3 linked regions of the Neurospora crassa OR74A genome follow. The protein of the gene in region 1 purifies or fractionates together with the protein of each later gene. This does not show direct contact. Links are inferred from orthologs where the notes say so. Each region holds a gene or a part of one and is shown in the gene's direction. Other genes may lie near its edges.

The links.
Region 2: the proteins of naf-1 (region 1) and hH2Az purify together in Saccharomyces cerevisiae (affinity purification with mass spectrometry; 13 studies listed by BioGRID, with this or other methods). This does not show direct contact. The link is inferred for Neurospora crassa OR74A from reciprocal best matches to the Saccharomyces cerevisiae genes NAP1 and HTZ1.
Region 3: the proteins of naf-1 (region 1) and NCU09488 purify together in Saccharomyces cerevisiae (affinity purification with mass spectrometry; 6 studies listed by BioGRID, with this or other methods). This does not show direct contact. The link is inferred for Neurospora crassa OR74A from reciprocal best matches to the Saccharomyces cerevisiae genes NAP1 and SDA1.

What each region holds. Positions count from the first base shown.
Region 1 is NC_026505.1:4,745,773-4,750,213, reverse strand, and holds naf-1 (nucleosome assembly protein), read left to right. Parts: upstream 1-1,564; 5' UTR 1,565-1,838; coding exon 1,839-1,885; intron 1,886-1,962; coding exon 1,963-2,042; intron 2,043-2,120; coding exon 2,121-2,840; intron 2,841-2,897; coding exon 2,898-3,223; intron 3,224-3,288; coding exon 3,289-3,339; 3' UTR 3,340-4,043; downstream 4,044-4,441. UniProt on the Saccharomyces cerevisiae protein: Acidic protein, which assembles histones into an octamer (in vitro). Involved in the regulation of the localization and the function of the septins during mitosis. Involved in the function of B-type cyclins.
Region 2 is NC_026502.1:1,389,953-1,394,368, reverse strand, and holds the start of hH2Az (histone H2A.Z), read left to right. Parts: upstream 1-1,545; 5' UTR 1,546-2,664; coding exon 2,665-2,775; intron 2,776-3,266; coding exon 3,267-3,398; intron 3,399-3,507; coding exon 3,508-3,696; 3' UTR 3,697-4,416. UniProt on the Saccharomyces cerevisiae protein: Variant histone H2A which can replace H2A in some nucleosomes. Nucleosomes wrap and compact DNA into chromatin, limiting DNA accessibility to the cellular machineries which require DNA as a template.
Region 3 is NC_026502.1:4,439,205-4,443,341, reverse strand, and holds NCU09488 (SDA1 domain-containing protein), read left to right. Parts: upstream 1-1,299; 5' UTR 1,300-1,429; coding exon 1,430-1,512; intron 1,513-1,617; coding exon 1,618-3,769; 3' UTR 3,770-3,900; downstream 3,901-4,137. Other genes in the region: NCU09489 (phosphoglycerate mutase), read right to left, coding at 50-821, 876-931.

The sequences.
Region 1 (4,441 bases):
AGCGAAGGACAACTGTATGCAGTAGGGCTTCTTGCGATCGCATGGATAACTTCCACGATACTTCCCTTACCATCTTGTACATTCAAGTGAGTGGATCAGGCTTTCCGCACGATGACTGGAGATGGGAATGATGGACTCCAGCTAGAATCCTCTTGTCTGACTTCTTCACATTTGTTGACCTGGACGCCGGAGTCACGGAGAAGGATCGGGGCCAGACCGTCCCAACGGGCAGTCAGCAAGTGGGGCAGTCACAGGCATGGGATTTTTCTTTCAACACTGCCCGCCAATCGAATGCCAAGCATGTCCGCTAACGCTTGCCTACTTACATACCTCTAGCCAGAAAGGTCGATGGCGGAGATGGGGGTCGCTATCCACGATTTTTACGATAAGCACAGTGCAACAAGGGTCATTCTGGCCCAAACCTTGTCGGCTTCAGTTGGCGATGGAGATTCGTGGGCATCGCGATGATCACTTGGCAGATGCCGCGAGCGGTCTCACTACACCACAACGTGAGAGAACGTGCTCCATACGTGCCCGTACGTCGTGTACTGGGGTCACTGCAGCATCTCACCTGGACTTAGGTTGGACGCCCACGACGGTCTACGGCCATGATGGTTCAGATCGGTCCGATGATGGTCGCTGAACCCAGCGTCGACTCATAATCGAAGTCATAAGCAGAAAAGTGTGCGTCAAGTTGCCTCTGCTGATGAGGTTTTGACTTGCTGAGGACAGAGTGAATCAGCAGAATTTTCAAGTTTGCCTTCCAAAACCTGCCCGGCTCTGGAGGCCTAATTGAGTTGAGAGACCCTAAACGTTAGAAGCAAATCACCGCAGCCCGACGCCGGTGAGAAGGCGAGATGTAAACACCCGTCCAATATTAGCAGCTCGCAGTTCAGACGAAAAGCAACTTCTAAACTATCTTGCACCTATGAGGTACCTTGTAACTTGTGTATATGAAGCCGGCATGTCACCAATATCATTTACCCTACATCATGTCTCTGGCCGGGATCCCTGGAGAGAACGCTAGCACGCAAGACACGCCAGCCAAATGCTGAAGCATGTGGTGCCAGGAAGCGACGCGCGACGGGCAACCTGGAAATACACTACCTGAATGCGATGTACATGAACGGGCTTTGTACGATAAGAACAACAATGGCATGTTTAGGTTCATCTGGCTAGGCGTAGGTACCTGAGGGGATTTTCAGTTCAGACGAGCAGACCGGGCATGCAATGGCCGAGTGTAGAGTCAAACAAGTGACAGGAGGAGCTTGACCCTAAAAAGACGTGACCCATGACAATGGGCACCTTGCCTATGCTGGAATAGAATTGAAGGTCAAATACCTCTAGGTGGTGGTGTAGGGCAAGCGACAAGACTCATGGGCAGCAAATGGAAGTAGCGGACTGGGGCTGGGTGGTCGCCGGCGCAGTGCAGGCATCATGGAGTGGTCCAACGGGGCGCCTCCCGCTGCAGTGCCCTCGACCCGACTGTCCTGCCCGCACTGGCCAGTGCCCCGCAAATTTTCATAGCAACCCCATTGATAGCTTTTCTCCCCTCCCGGTCCCCTCCAGACCCGACCCTCGCTCAACATTTCTTGCACTGCTGCACAACAAGCCTTCTCTGCCTGGACCGACCGGCAACCACAGAACTTTTTGCCTTTCCCACCAGCACCGGGGCCCCTTCATCAATCTCTACACCCGACCGCTTCTTCAATCCAAATTTGCCCTTCCTTCTCCCATTTCTCCCTCCGACATCCACTGTACGTCGGTCGCAGGGTTCTACCACCGCTTCCTTCTCTGTATCCCAACTCATTTCCTTCTCTTGACCAGAACCAGACACAATGGCCGAGCCCATCAGAAACAAGCGGGCTGATCCCCCCATCGCTCCGTGAGTTTTCATCCCCAGACTTGATGGGATGCCCATCCCGAGTATCGCGTACCGTTACTGACCAGCCTTCGCTTCAGCACCCCCCAGAACACTCCTCTTAACACTGCCCCCATCTCGTCGCACGCTCAGCAGCCCGGTGTTGCCAGCATCAAGGAGGGTGAGTGAAGATTCTTGCTGCTGCTGAGACTATTTGGTAGTTTTCTGGGCTTGTCGCTAAACTTACTGTTCGTTGCAGAGGATCTTGACCGTGCCGCCGCCGCTTCCATCTTCGCCAAGGACCCTAGACTTGTGTCCCTTATCCAGGGTCGTCTCGGCTCTCTTGTCGGTCGTTCGTCCGGCTACATTGAGTCTCTCCCTACCGATGTCAAGCGTCGTGTCGCTGGCCTGAAGGGCATTCAGAAGGAGCACTCCAAGCTCGAGGCCGAGTTCCAGGAGGAGGTCCTCCAGCTCGAGAAGAAGTACTTTGCCAAGTTCACTCCTCTTTACCAACAGCGTGCCGCCATTGTCAACGGCCAGACTGAGCCCACTGAGGACCAGGTCCAGGCCGGTGAGGAGGATGAGGAGGAGGAGGATGAGGAGACCGAGGCCGCCCCCCAGGAGGAGAAGGCTACCGAGTCTGCCGAGAAGGTCTCTGGTATCCCCGAGTTCTGGCTCTCTGCCATGAAGAACCAGATCTCCCTCGCCGAGATGATCACCGACCGCGACGAGGAGGCCCTCAAGTCCCTTACCGACATCCGCATGGAGTACCTTGACAAGCCCGGATTCCGCCTCATCTTCGAGTTCGCTGAGAACGAGTACTTCACCAACAAGACTATCACCAAGACCTACTACTACCAGAACGAGAGCGGCTATGGTGGCGACTTTATCTACGATCACGCCGAGGGTGACAAGATCAACTGGAAGGAGGACAAGGATCTTACTGTCCGCGTTGAGCAGAAGAAGCAACGCAACAAGAGTGAGTTGCAGTTCCAGCTTGAATTTTCTCAAACTTGCTCACTAACAAATTGCACAGCCACCAAGCAGACCCGCATCGTCAAGAAGACCGTTCCTACCGAGTCTTTCTTCAACTTCTTCTCCCCCCCTAAGGCCCCCACTGATGACGACGAGTCTACCACCTCCGATATTGAGGAGCGTCTTGAGCTCGACTACCAGCTCGGTGAGGATATCAAGGAGAAGCTTATTCCCCGCGCCATCGACTGGTTCACTGGCGAGGCCCTCGCCTTTGAGGAGCTCGATGAGGAGGACTTCGAGGACGCCGAGTTCGATGATGAGGATGATGAGGATGATGAAGATGCCAGCGAGGACCAGGATGACGAGGATGAGAGCGATGAAGACGATGTAAGACTTTCTGAATTTTCCCCAACACATGCTATGCTCTGCAGGTATGCTGACAAATTTCACAGGAGGACGGCAGCAAGCCCAAGCAGGAGGCTGCTGAGTGCAAGCAGAGCTAAACGCTGATCGCTGAATGAACACGAAAATGATACCACTATACCACGCAGGCAAGGGGCAGAACGCCCAATGACATTTGGCGTCTGAGTTCCAAATTATTGAGGGTCATGCATGACCGCACCGGGGTGGCCGTGGGCTCAGGAAGAACAGGAGTGTGCGGATGGCCGGAGCTTGTGGTGGATCGATAACCATTCTACAGAATTTGAATTGGTCACATGAGGAGTTGGCTTCAGCACCTGCCTTGACGCTGTGGTTGTCTCTCATAAGTCTTAGCAGGATAGTTCGTCCTGACCCCTGAAGCAGTGGCACGTCAGAGCGCAAGGATGGGAGCAGATATGCGAACTAAACCGGAACAAGGGTCGATTTGTGCGTAAAGGGATGATATTATACGGGACAAAAGCAGTGATTCTAGGAGGATTTAGGTGTTGATTTCATAGTACAGCATTGCAGGTGTTTCTACATCACAAACCGTCATCCAACAGCGTGACTCGATGTAGACTGTCTGACTGTCAAGTTCATTAGGCCACGACACCAGGGGCGGATGACTTCTCCAAGGAGTTCTCAGATGGATGTAAATCGTCATGACCCTTGTTAGCCTCGCGTGATGTAGATAGAGTAAACCTCAACGGACGAAAGAGTCGCCGAGCTGAGGCAGTGCGTGCCTGGAAGGCCTGAAGGATGGGAGCTGGGCTTCTGGAAATTTAGTTGGCGATGTCTCTACTGACACGCAAGCTTGGCGGCTCCCGGTCGAGTTTGAAGGTAGGTAGTAAGTACCTCGAGACTTGGAAGTAAACTAAATAATGGAACCCGGGAAGTTGTTACACTATTCAGTGCTCGGGACACGAGGAGAAATAAGAGACCATCTGCGCTGAATCGAGTGAAAGCTGTCTACATGAAAACATACTGGCTCGGACAAAGTCAAGGGGACAACAAAGCCATGTCAGGTCGCTGTGGCAGTTTCCTATACATTGTGCGGACAGTCAGCTCGATTCTTGCGAGTCCTTCTTCTCCTGAGGTGGAAAAAAAAGAGGAGCCCGGGCAAGAAGACGGGAAGTACGGATAGCATGGGAAGAACACACGCCACATCTCATATTTCCATTTTTA
Region 2 (4,416 bases), on another chromosome or scaffold:
CCTTTTCCCTTGAACGTTCGTCGTGCATCGGTCCAAGTCGTGTTCCGCCGACGGCTTGGCTGGCTAAGCGCTTCCTACGACTTCACCCTTTCGGTCTCCAAATCTCTACAGTCAGGACGACCACCACTGACTTTCACTTCGCTCTGAGCAGGGGTGACACCCACCAGTCCTCGATTCCACTGCGCATTTTCTCTTCTATCCTATCTATTATGTCACATGCTTCACTCCACCCGCAGCGGTTTTTCGGTTACAGGGGTGGAATGGAGCCTAGGGCTGTCTGCTAGGCATCGCGCGGAAGCTTCACCCTTCACGCCTATTATACCACGGTATACCACGGAGTCCCGAGTGCCGATGGCTTCCATATGACTATCTGACGAATCAGTTCTATTCAGTTCACTCACTTTGTCTTGAATCGTCATCGCCTCAATCCCTTCGGTTTTTTCTTATTCTGTTGGGTTGTTGCTGCTTTCAACCCGCCCAGCGCGGGCATTAACATGGGCTCACAGCCAGATCGAGGCGAGTGTTCTGCCTCATGACAAGCAACGGTCACAGAGGTTGGTGAGAGCAGGCACGTTGCCATAAGTTCCAGGGATTACGAGTACGATTTGATGATCATCTTGGAGGATGAACACCTACATGTAAGAAGATATAAAGTGCTCTTCCTCGCTGCCTGAGAACAAAGTCTTTTTTTCTTTCCTCGAAGTAGACCTATGCACACCACCTTACTTACCATGCTACCTCTATCCATCATCTTTACCTACTGAGTTTCCCGCTGGAGTAGCGTACACTATATACGACAGTCGGATAGTACATTTCATCATGAGCACATATTACAGCGGCGGTGCTGGCAACACCGGTAGCGGCAATGGCTCAAATGGCGCGGCGGTCGGCCCCACATCGGGAGCCGGGGATCTACCCGCACCGGCCCAAGCTCCGAAGTGGGTCTTGCCATGGTTTCTTTTTATCTTTTTCCCAATCCTAGAATCCCGTCGTACGTCGGCATCCCTTTGGTAGTTGGCTGTTGAGCTACAAACATAATCCAAAGGCTTCCATATTACAGGCGGAATGGCAAAAGTAGTTATCTAATGCATCTTGTGTCACCAGAAGAAGAGAGTACGGCTCCATGATGAACAGATACATCCACGACACTACCACCCAAGTATCGGATCGGGTTTCGGGGCATCAGGACCCGATCAGCAACGACCGTCATAGGCTGGAGGTATTGCAGAGAGTGGAAAGACGGAGATGTGAGGCTGAGAGGTTGGCGAGGATTGCGAGAGGGAATTGAAGAGTGGTGAAGAAGGCACACAATTACTGTGTGCATCTTTGCACGATTTACGTTGTTTGAAGCGTTCATGTTGGGAGCTTACATAGTTCGTTGTGAATTGAACCTCAGTCACCACTGAAAACAGACAGCTCGGTCTGCTCAAGCGCAGACAGCTGGCAGACACTGCGCCAGTTGAAATGTCGTAACGTGAAAGCTTGGCACGGCTGCGACGAGTTTTTGGAGTAAGGTCACGGACCACAACAACCAGCGGCAGATTGGCAAAGGCTCACCCAAGGCTCCGAATCACACTATCTGAGCAACATTTCAAGACACTCTGCAACACCACGCCAGCCTCGGAAAAGCGTGCAAATCTGCTGTGAAGATGCTCAGGCCTTCATTGCCAAAGACTCTGACGGCTTTTGGCCCGCCTTAACCAGCTGGGTGGCCGGCCCGGACAGTGCCCGTCGCGGATCTCTGCATGGCTTCAAACCAGAAAGGTGCTCTCAACGTCGGGCAACAGTGAGGTATGCGACTCCCCTTGCATCACATGGACTTGTCCTGGGAGGCCTTTTCTTGGGCCGTTCATTGCGGAGATGTCGGCAAGGTTCTCTGCAAGACCGTGTCAGCCACGGCCCTTGCGAGGCTGAGTTGAGGTCTGGCTATCTGTCTCGAGATGGACCTCACTGGGTCGTCATGGCTGGCTCGAGGCCTTGCTGGCTGGGCCTTTGCCTGGAGCTTCATGATATTGCCAAGCCTCGGAGCTCCCTTCGAATTGGTCAAGTGGTCTGCTTGGCTCGCCGTACCCAAGGTTACCCCAAGGTACCTACCTACCTACCTACACTAACCTACCTACCCTCCCTCTGCGGAGGAGGAAAAAAAAAAAAAAAAAAAAAAAAAAAAAAAATCAGCAACAGCGACAAATCAGCACACACGGCAAGCAAAGCACCCACGGGAGCTGGCTGTTAGCTGACTGAGCTCGAGCTTCCATCCCTTCGCTTAGCTTGGACGTCGGCACCTTCCCTCCTGTACGGACGCATGTCTCAGGCGCGGTTGCGCTCAAACACGGCGGGCAATCACCTGGAAGGACACAACATCAAAGGGCCCATCAGTGGCATGCATCTTCGGCCCTTCTGAATTTTCGAGCGTCTCCTGGCGCCAACTTCAACACCAAACCTCGTCGCGATCATCCTTCCGGCCAAAACACCACTTTTCCATCCGCCAACCCCGCTTCATCCACTTCCACCAGTTCCACGCAAATCCCGCGCCGTTGCCCCGTCAATATCAACATCCAGCATCGTCACGACCACCGGTTTTATTCTCGACACTACGTCCATCCGCCCATCCCGCGCACAACCATCCCACCCCGTTCAATCCCTTCAAACAAACAAACAAACACAATGGCTGGCGGAAAGGGCAAGTCGTCTGGCGGCAAGAGCTCGGGTGGAAAGACCTCGGGCGTCGAAGGTCCCAAGAAGCAGCAGAGCCATTCTGCTCGCGCTGGTCTTCAGGTACGTTTTTATAGTTGACGAGCTTCATGGCTCTGTCCGCTTTCAATTCCTGCTCCGATCTGCACCATCGACGTCGTCTCATCAACCAACTTTTTTTTTGCTCGCATCCGCCATCCCTGTCGTCAGATGTCGATGGAATCACGCCGATACACCACAACGCGTCCACCGAGCCCCCTACATTTCCGGACAACCCCATAGTGCCAACCTACGAAGAACGCGAACTCGCTGCCTCACACGTCGGTCGCACACAACCCCGCCGCTGGGTAAAAGAAAAAAACCCCCATTGCGCCCCGTACGCGATACTATTTCGGCTTCATATGGACGCGTTGTTCTGTGCATCCTTCTCTCGCCCTGGCCCCGCACCCGGACCTTGTTCCGGTCCCTAACTTTGGATTTCTCGCTCTGACAACGAGGCGGAGCTGCGGCGTGCATTTCCGTCCTCTGGAGTTTGCCGTGTGTCTGATGCGCCATGCTGACTTGAATCTAATTAGTTCCCTTGCGGTCGTGTCAAGCGTTTCCTGAAGCAGAACACCCAAAACAAGATGCGCGTTGGCGCCAAGGCTGCCGTCTATGTTACTGCCGTGCTGGAATATTTGACTGCTGAAGTCCTCGAACTTGCGGGTGTAAGTCATTCATACCCCATCCGCTCGGCCATATTGCTTGGCGACGAGGAGGCTCCCATTTCCAAGTTTTACCTGCTTTATGGCTAACTCAATGATTTCCGTTGTATAGAACGCTGCCAAGGACCTGAAGGTCAAGCGTATTACTCCCCGCCATCTTCAGCTTGCCATCCGTGGAGATGAGGAGCTTGATACCCTCATCCGCGCCACTATCGCCTTCGGTGGTGTCCTCCCCCACATTAACCGCGCCCTTCTGCTCAAGGTAGAGCAGAAGAAGAAGGCCAAGGCTCAGGAGGCTTAAGTCCACAACTGCACCGAAAAACTCGACGTCGCACACGTTTCGCACACTGTCTTGCATCTCTCTAGCCCCGCTCCGGGCTGACGGGCAGGACAGCAATCGGCTTGTTCAAGGGATGTCACGGGGTGATGCCGGGGGGGTTGGGGATTGTCTTCGCTAATCCAACACTAACGCCGCTGTATTGTTGGGTATTTTCTTCCTATTATTTGTTGTTGGGATACGCACACGGGCTTGGGGCCCACCGAACCATGGCTTGAAAAAGCCGAGCACTCCCGGTGTCTGCGACGGCAACAAGCGCAGCGCATAGACGACGGCGAACTTCCCTTGCGACACTTCCAGCAGAGTGGTGCGTTCGGAACACACACGAAAAGCGAAGCGTTCTGTATCATCCAGACGTGGAAGCCGCTTGGGTGGCGATGAGCAGGGAGACCATTCACTGTATAATGTCATCTTGGAGTGCACCACACACTGGGAACGGCGAGCAATCTCCCCTCGTCACGGCGCGGCGTGCGACAGCAGCTCTTTTACGATATCTGTAACAACATGAATCTTCTTTATCGTTTTTTTTATAGTACGACTCGGCCATGAGGGCTTAGCGAGGAAAACATCAGGACACGTTAAATGAACGTGTCGGTTGGTACTGGTTGCAGGTAGTGGCGGAATAAAGGCTACAAGGAAGAGCCTTGAAAATTTGCGATACCAATTCTTATTATGTTCTCTCTA
Region 3 (4,137 bases), on another chromosome or scaffold:
TGGTGTAAATGAAGAAAGGAGGCAGGAACATACCAATTGCTGACACCGGTCAATCAACCCGTCGCTTTTTGGCAGCGGGTTTGAAGAACGAATCCATCGTCTTCTGTTTACTGTCAAACTTGGCACTGCCAATGCCACCCCTGGTCCTTTTCAGGCCGTGGAGGTGGTCAAGGACGTTGACCCGGACGACAGTCAACTGAGCAGTCGACTTCTCGGTTTCCTCAGACGAGGCGATGGCATCCACCTTCATCTCGAGATATCCAGTGTTGCTCCAAGCAGCGAGAAATTCTGACCTTCCGGCAACAGAACCCGACGACAGCTTTGCGTTGGCAAGCCTCGTCATCTCTTCTGGGGCATAACGCGCCAAAAGTGATCTCAAGAGCGAGTTGAGTATCAAGCCATGCGCGACAACCACGACGGAGGTGTTGGTCTTGCAGTTATCACCATTGGAGATACTGTCCAGCAGCGGATCCAGGTGGGCTTGTACGAAATCGGTGGCTCGCGCGCGCATCTCGTCATGCGTTTCGGCATCGGAATGCGGTGTGCCAAAGCGCTTCCCCTCGGCAGATCGGAAATCGCGTTCGCGAAGCTCGACAACCTGTACTAGTTGGAGCTTGGAATGGTCCGTATCTTCCTTCTCCGTTGCCTTCGTCACCTGGGCGTCCACAATGGCCTGGGCAGTACTGACTGCGCGCTGCAGATCGGAAGAGAAGATGTGCGTGACAGGACCAATTGAGGACGACCGCGAGGCAAAGTGCGAGGCTAGACGACGTGCCTGCAAGACACCGTGGGTGGTGAGGGGGGAGTCACGAATGCCTGCGCTGGGGAAGGTCAGCCAATTGTCCTGTGGACATGGTCTGCTGGATTGAACGTACTATAAACCGGCCACGTTGTCGACGGTCTCTCCGTGTCGAACGAGGAAGAGCCGCATGTTGTTGGGAGATGAAGGACGAAACGAAAGACAGCATATGCCAATCGTCTCGGTTGTCCAAGTTCAAGTGGCGGATGAGGAATGCATCATCGCCGGAATGGGAATAGCAAACCGCGGGGAGCAGTTGCTGCCGTCAATCGCCCAAGTAAATGGTGATTTGTGGAAAGCAAAAGGGAAAAGAAATCCAAGAAAAAGCGCGGCAGAAAAAGAAAATTTAAAAGGGCACAGTTCAAGTGGGGTACAGAATGCCGCGCTGTCCAGGGTCCTCCCCGCCTGGAACGTCCACCAACTCCACTGGCGCAGCTGATAAGGATCCGATAAGGAATCAATTTCCCAAAAAATTCTGGACCGCTGAAGCTCCAGGCAAAGCGAGGGTTGAGGATTGTGCCAGAGGACTGGAACTGAACAGAGCAGAGGGAACCGGCTTGCACTCTCGTTGCGACTCGCATCGATCTCAACATCACTCAGAATACCGTCCTTCCCGCTCCAGCCGCCAAGATGCCCAAGAGAAAGGTGGCCGCCCTCGAGAAGGTCGACGCTGACCTGGTCAGTTTGCAGTACAAGATCAGGAGGGATCCCAAGTGAGTTGTTCTTGTTGTTGTCGTCGTCGTCGTCGTCGTCGTCGCCAATTGCTGCCCTCGTCGTCAGTCGCTTCTGTTTACTAACACCCTGGCCTCCTCCTCCAGATCCTATGCCCAAGAGTTTTACGACCAATGGCTCGCATACGACGCCCAACGGCAAATCTTCATCTCGTCCCCTTCCTCCGCCTCCAGCGAAGATAACAAGAAATTCCACGATCTCGTTGACCTCGTCGCGCACGTCGCCGATCTGTACCCCGATGTCACTGCCCCCTACTTCGACCACCTTAAGGAGCTCTTGACTCAACACCATGCCGTTCTCAACCCCGATCTTCGCGAAAAGGTTGTTGGCAGCTTGTCTCTCCTCCGTCGCAAGGATGTCATCGACTCGACCAGCCTGCTTACCACCCTCTTCCCCATTTTAATCTCGACGCCCTCCAAGTCTCTCCGCTCCCTCCTGTATACCAAGATCGTCAGCGACCTGCGCGAGTCCAACTCCAAGGCCACCAACCACAAGCTCAACCGCACCATCCAAACTGTCTTGCACAACCTCGTTACCTCGGACCGCACTTCGACCAAAGGCATGTGGGCCTGCCGCATCACCCGCGAGCTGTGGCGCCGCCAGATCTGGACCGACGCCCGGCCCTGCGACGTCATGAAGGAGGCCTGTTTGTCCGACAACGAAAAGGTCGTCGTTGGTGGTGTCCGCTTCTTCTTGGGTGGCGACAAGGAGCGCGAGGAGATGGAGGACGACTCTAGTGACGAGGAGATTGACATTAAGAAGGTCAAGCATCAGGGCACTATCAACAAGAAGACCAAGAAGCGCCAAAAGGCCATGGAGAAGGCCATGGAAAAGATTAAGAAGCAGGAGCGCAAGAAGCATGCCCCTCATCCGCTGAACTTCTCGGCTCTCCACCTCATTCACGATCCTCAAGGCTTCGCCGAGCAGCTTTTCCAGAAACACCTGCAGAATACCAAGTGCAAGTTCTCCCTCGACAACAAGCTACTGGTCCTCCAGCTCGTCACCCGTCTGGTCGGTCTGCACAAGCTCACCATCATTTCCTTGTATCCGTGGTTCACCAAGTACTTGACGCCCAAGCAACCGTCCGTCACTTCATTCCTCGCTTCTTTGGCGCAGGCGACACACAACCACGTTCCTCCCGACGCCATCGAACCTCTCGTTGTCAAGATCGCCAATGAGTTCGTCTCGGAGGCTTCTGCCGCCGAAGTTGCCTCTGCCGGTATCAACTCTATCCGTGAAGTCGCTTTGCGCCAACCGCTCTGCATGAGCGAGACTCTCCTTCAAGATCTAGTCATGTACCAAAAGTCCAAGGACAAGGGCGTGGTAATGGCCGCCAAGGGTCTTCAGTCTCTTTACCGTGAAGTTTACCCCGAGCTGCTGCAAAAGAAGTTCCGCGGCAAGGAGGCAACCATGGGATTGAAGTCGGGTGAGGTCAAGAGGCTCAAGTTTGGTGAAGAGCAAGTGGAGAGCGGTATTGAGGGTATCGAGCTTCTCGAGAAGTACAAGGAGGAGCAGAAACTCAAGAAACTCGCTGAGAAGGGTGAGGATGCTGATGGAGACGCTAAGATGAAGGATGATGATGATGACGAAGATGGGTTCAATTCCGACGAGTGGGAAGTCGCCTCCAACGATTCTGACTCTTCAACCGGGTGGATCAACGTTGAGCACTCCGATGACGAGGACGAAGGGCCTGCAGCCAAGAAGCAGCGTCGCGACAGCTCAACGGCTCCTGATCTCATCTCCGACGAAGCCATGGCCGCCGCCGCCGAAGCCAACCGCATTTCCAAGCTCGCCATGACCACTATCCTCACGCCCGCCGACCTCGCCAAACTGGCAGAGCTCCGCCGGGAGGCCCAATTAGACAAGATGACAGGCACCGTCTCCAAGAGGAGACAAGAACTTATCGCCAAGCACATCGAAGACGGTGTTACCGCCGACGACATTGAGTTGCCTGCCCAGATTGGCAAGAAGAGCACCAAGGAGGAGCGGGTGGCCATGGCCAAGGATGGCAAGCCTGCGCGTGAGGAGCACAAGTCGACGCAGGCAATCAGGAAATCCAAGAAGGAGGCTGAGGGCAAGTCGTCGACGAACAAGGAGAAGGCGAGAAAGAAGAACTTCCTAATGACGGTTGGTAAGGCGAGGGCGAAGCATAAGAGGAGTTTGGTGGATACCAAGAAGCGTCTGACGGCGCATATTGCTAGGAGTAAGAGCGGAGGAAGGAGAAGGAACGGTATGTAACACGGAGAGTTGTGGAATCGGTGATTCTCTGTTTTCGTAATCGTATTTGTTTGTACCTTTTTTTAGGTTTTGGGAAATTAACTGCGGACGAGTGTTGTACTCGTTCATGTGTAATCACACATTGTTTCCAGTCCTTTCGGGTGAAGTTGGTCCTTTGTTCCATGGTACTTATCCATATCACCCTTTTCTCCCCACGGTCCGTTGTTTGACTCCGCGATGAGGGAAGAACGAGAAACCGTCGCCGTCACCGTCCAAGGGTTACAGATGTAGAGGCACGGTAGAGGTATACTTTTACCCAATACAGATTGAACTTCTAGAGTAGAGGTAGTCTCGTATGCCTCGTCGCCTCACAGACTTCAACTAAAGTC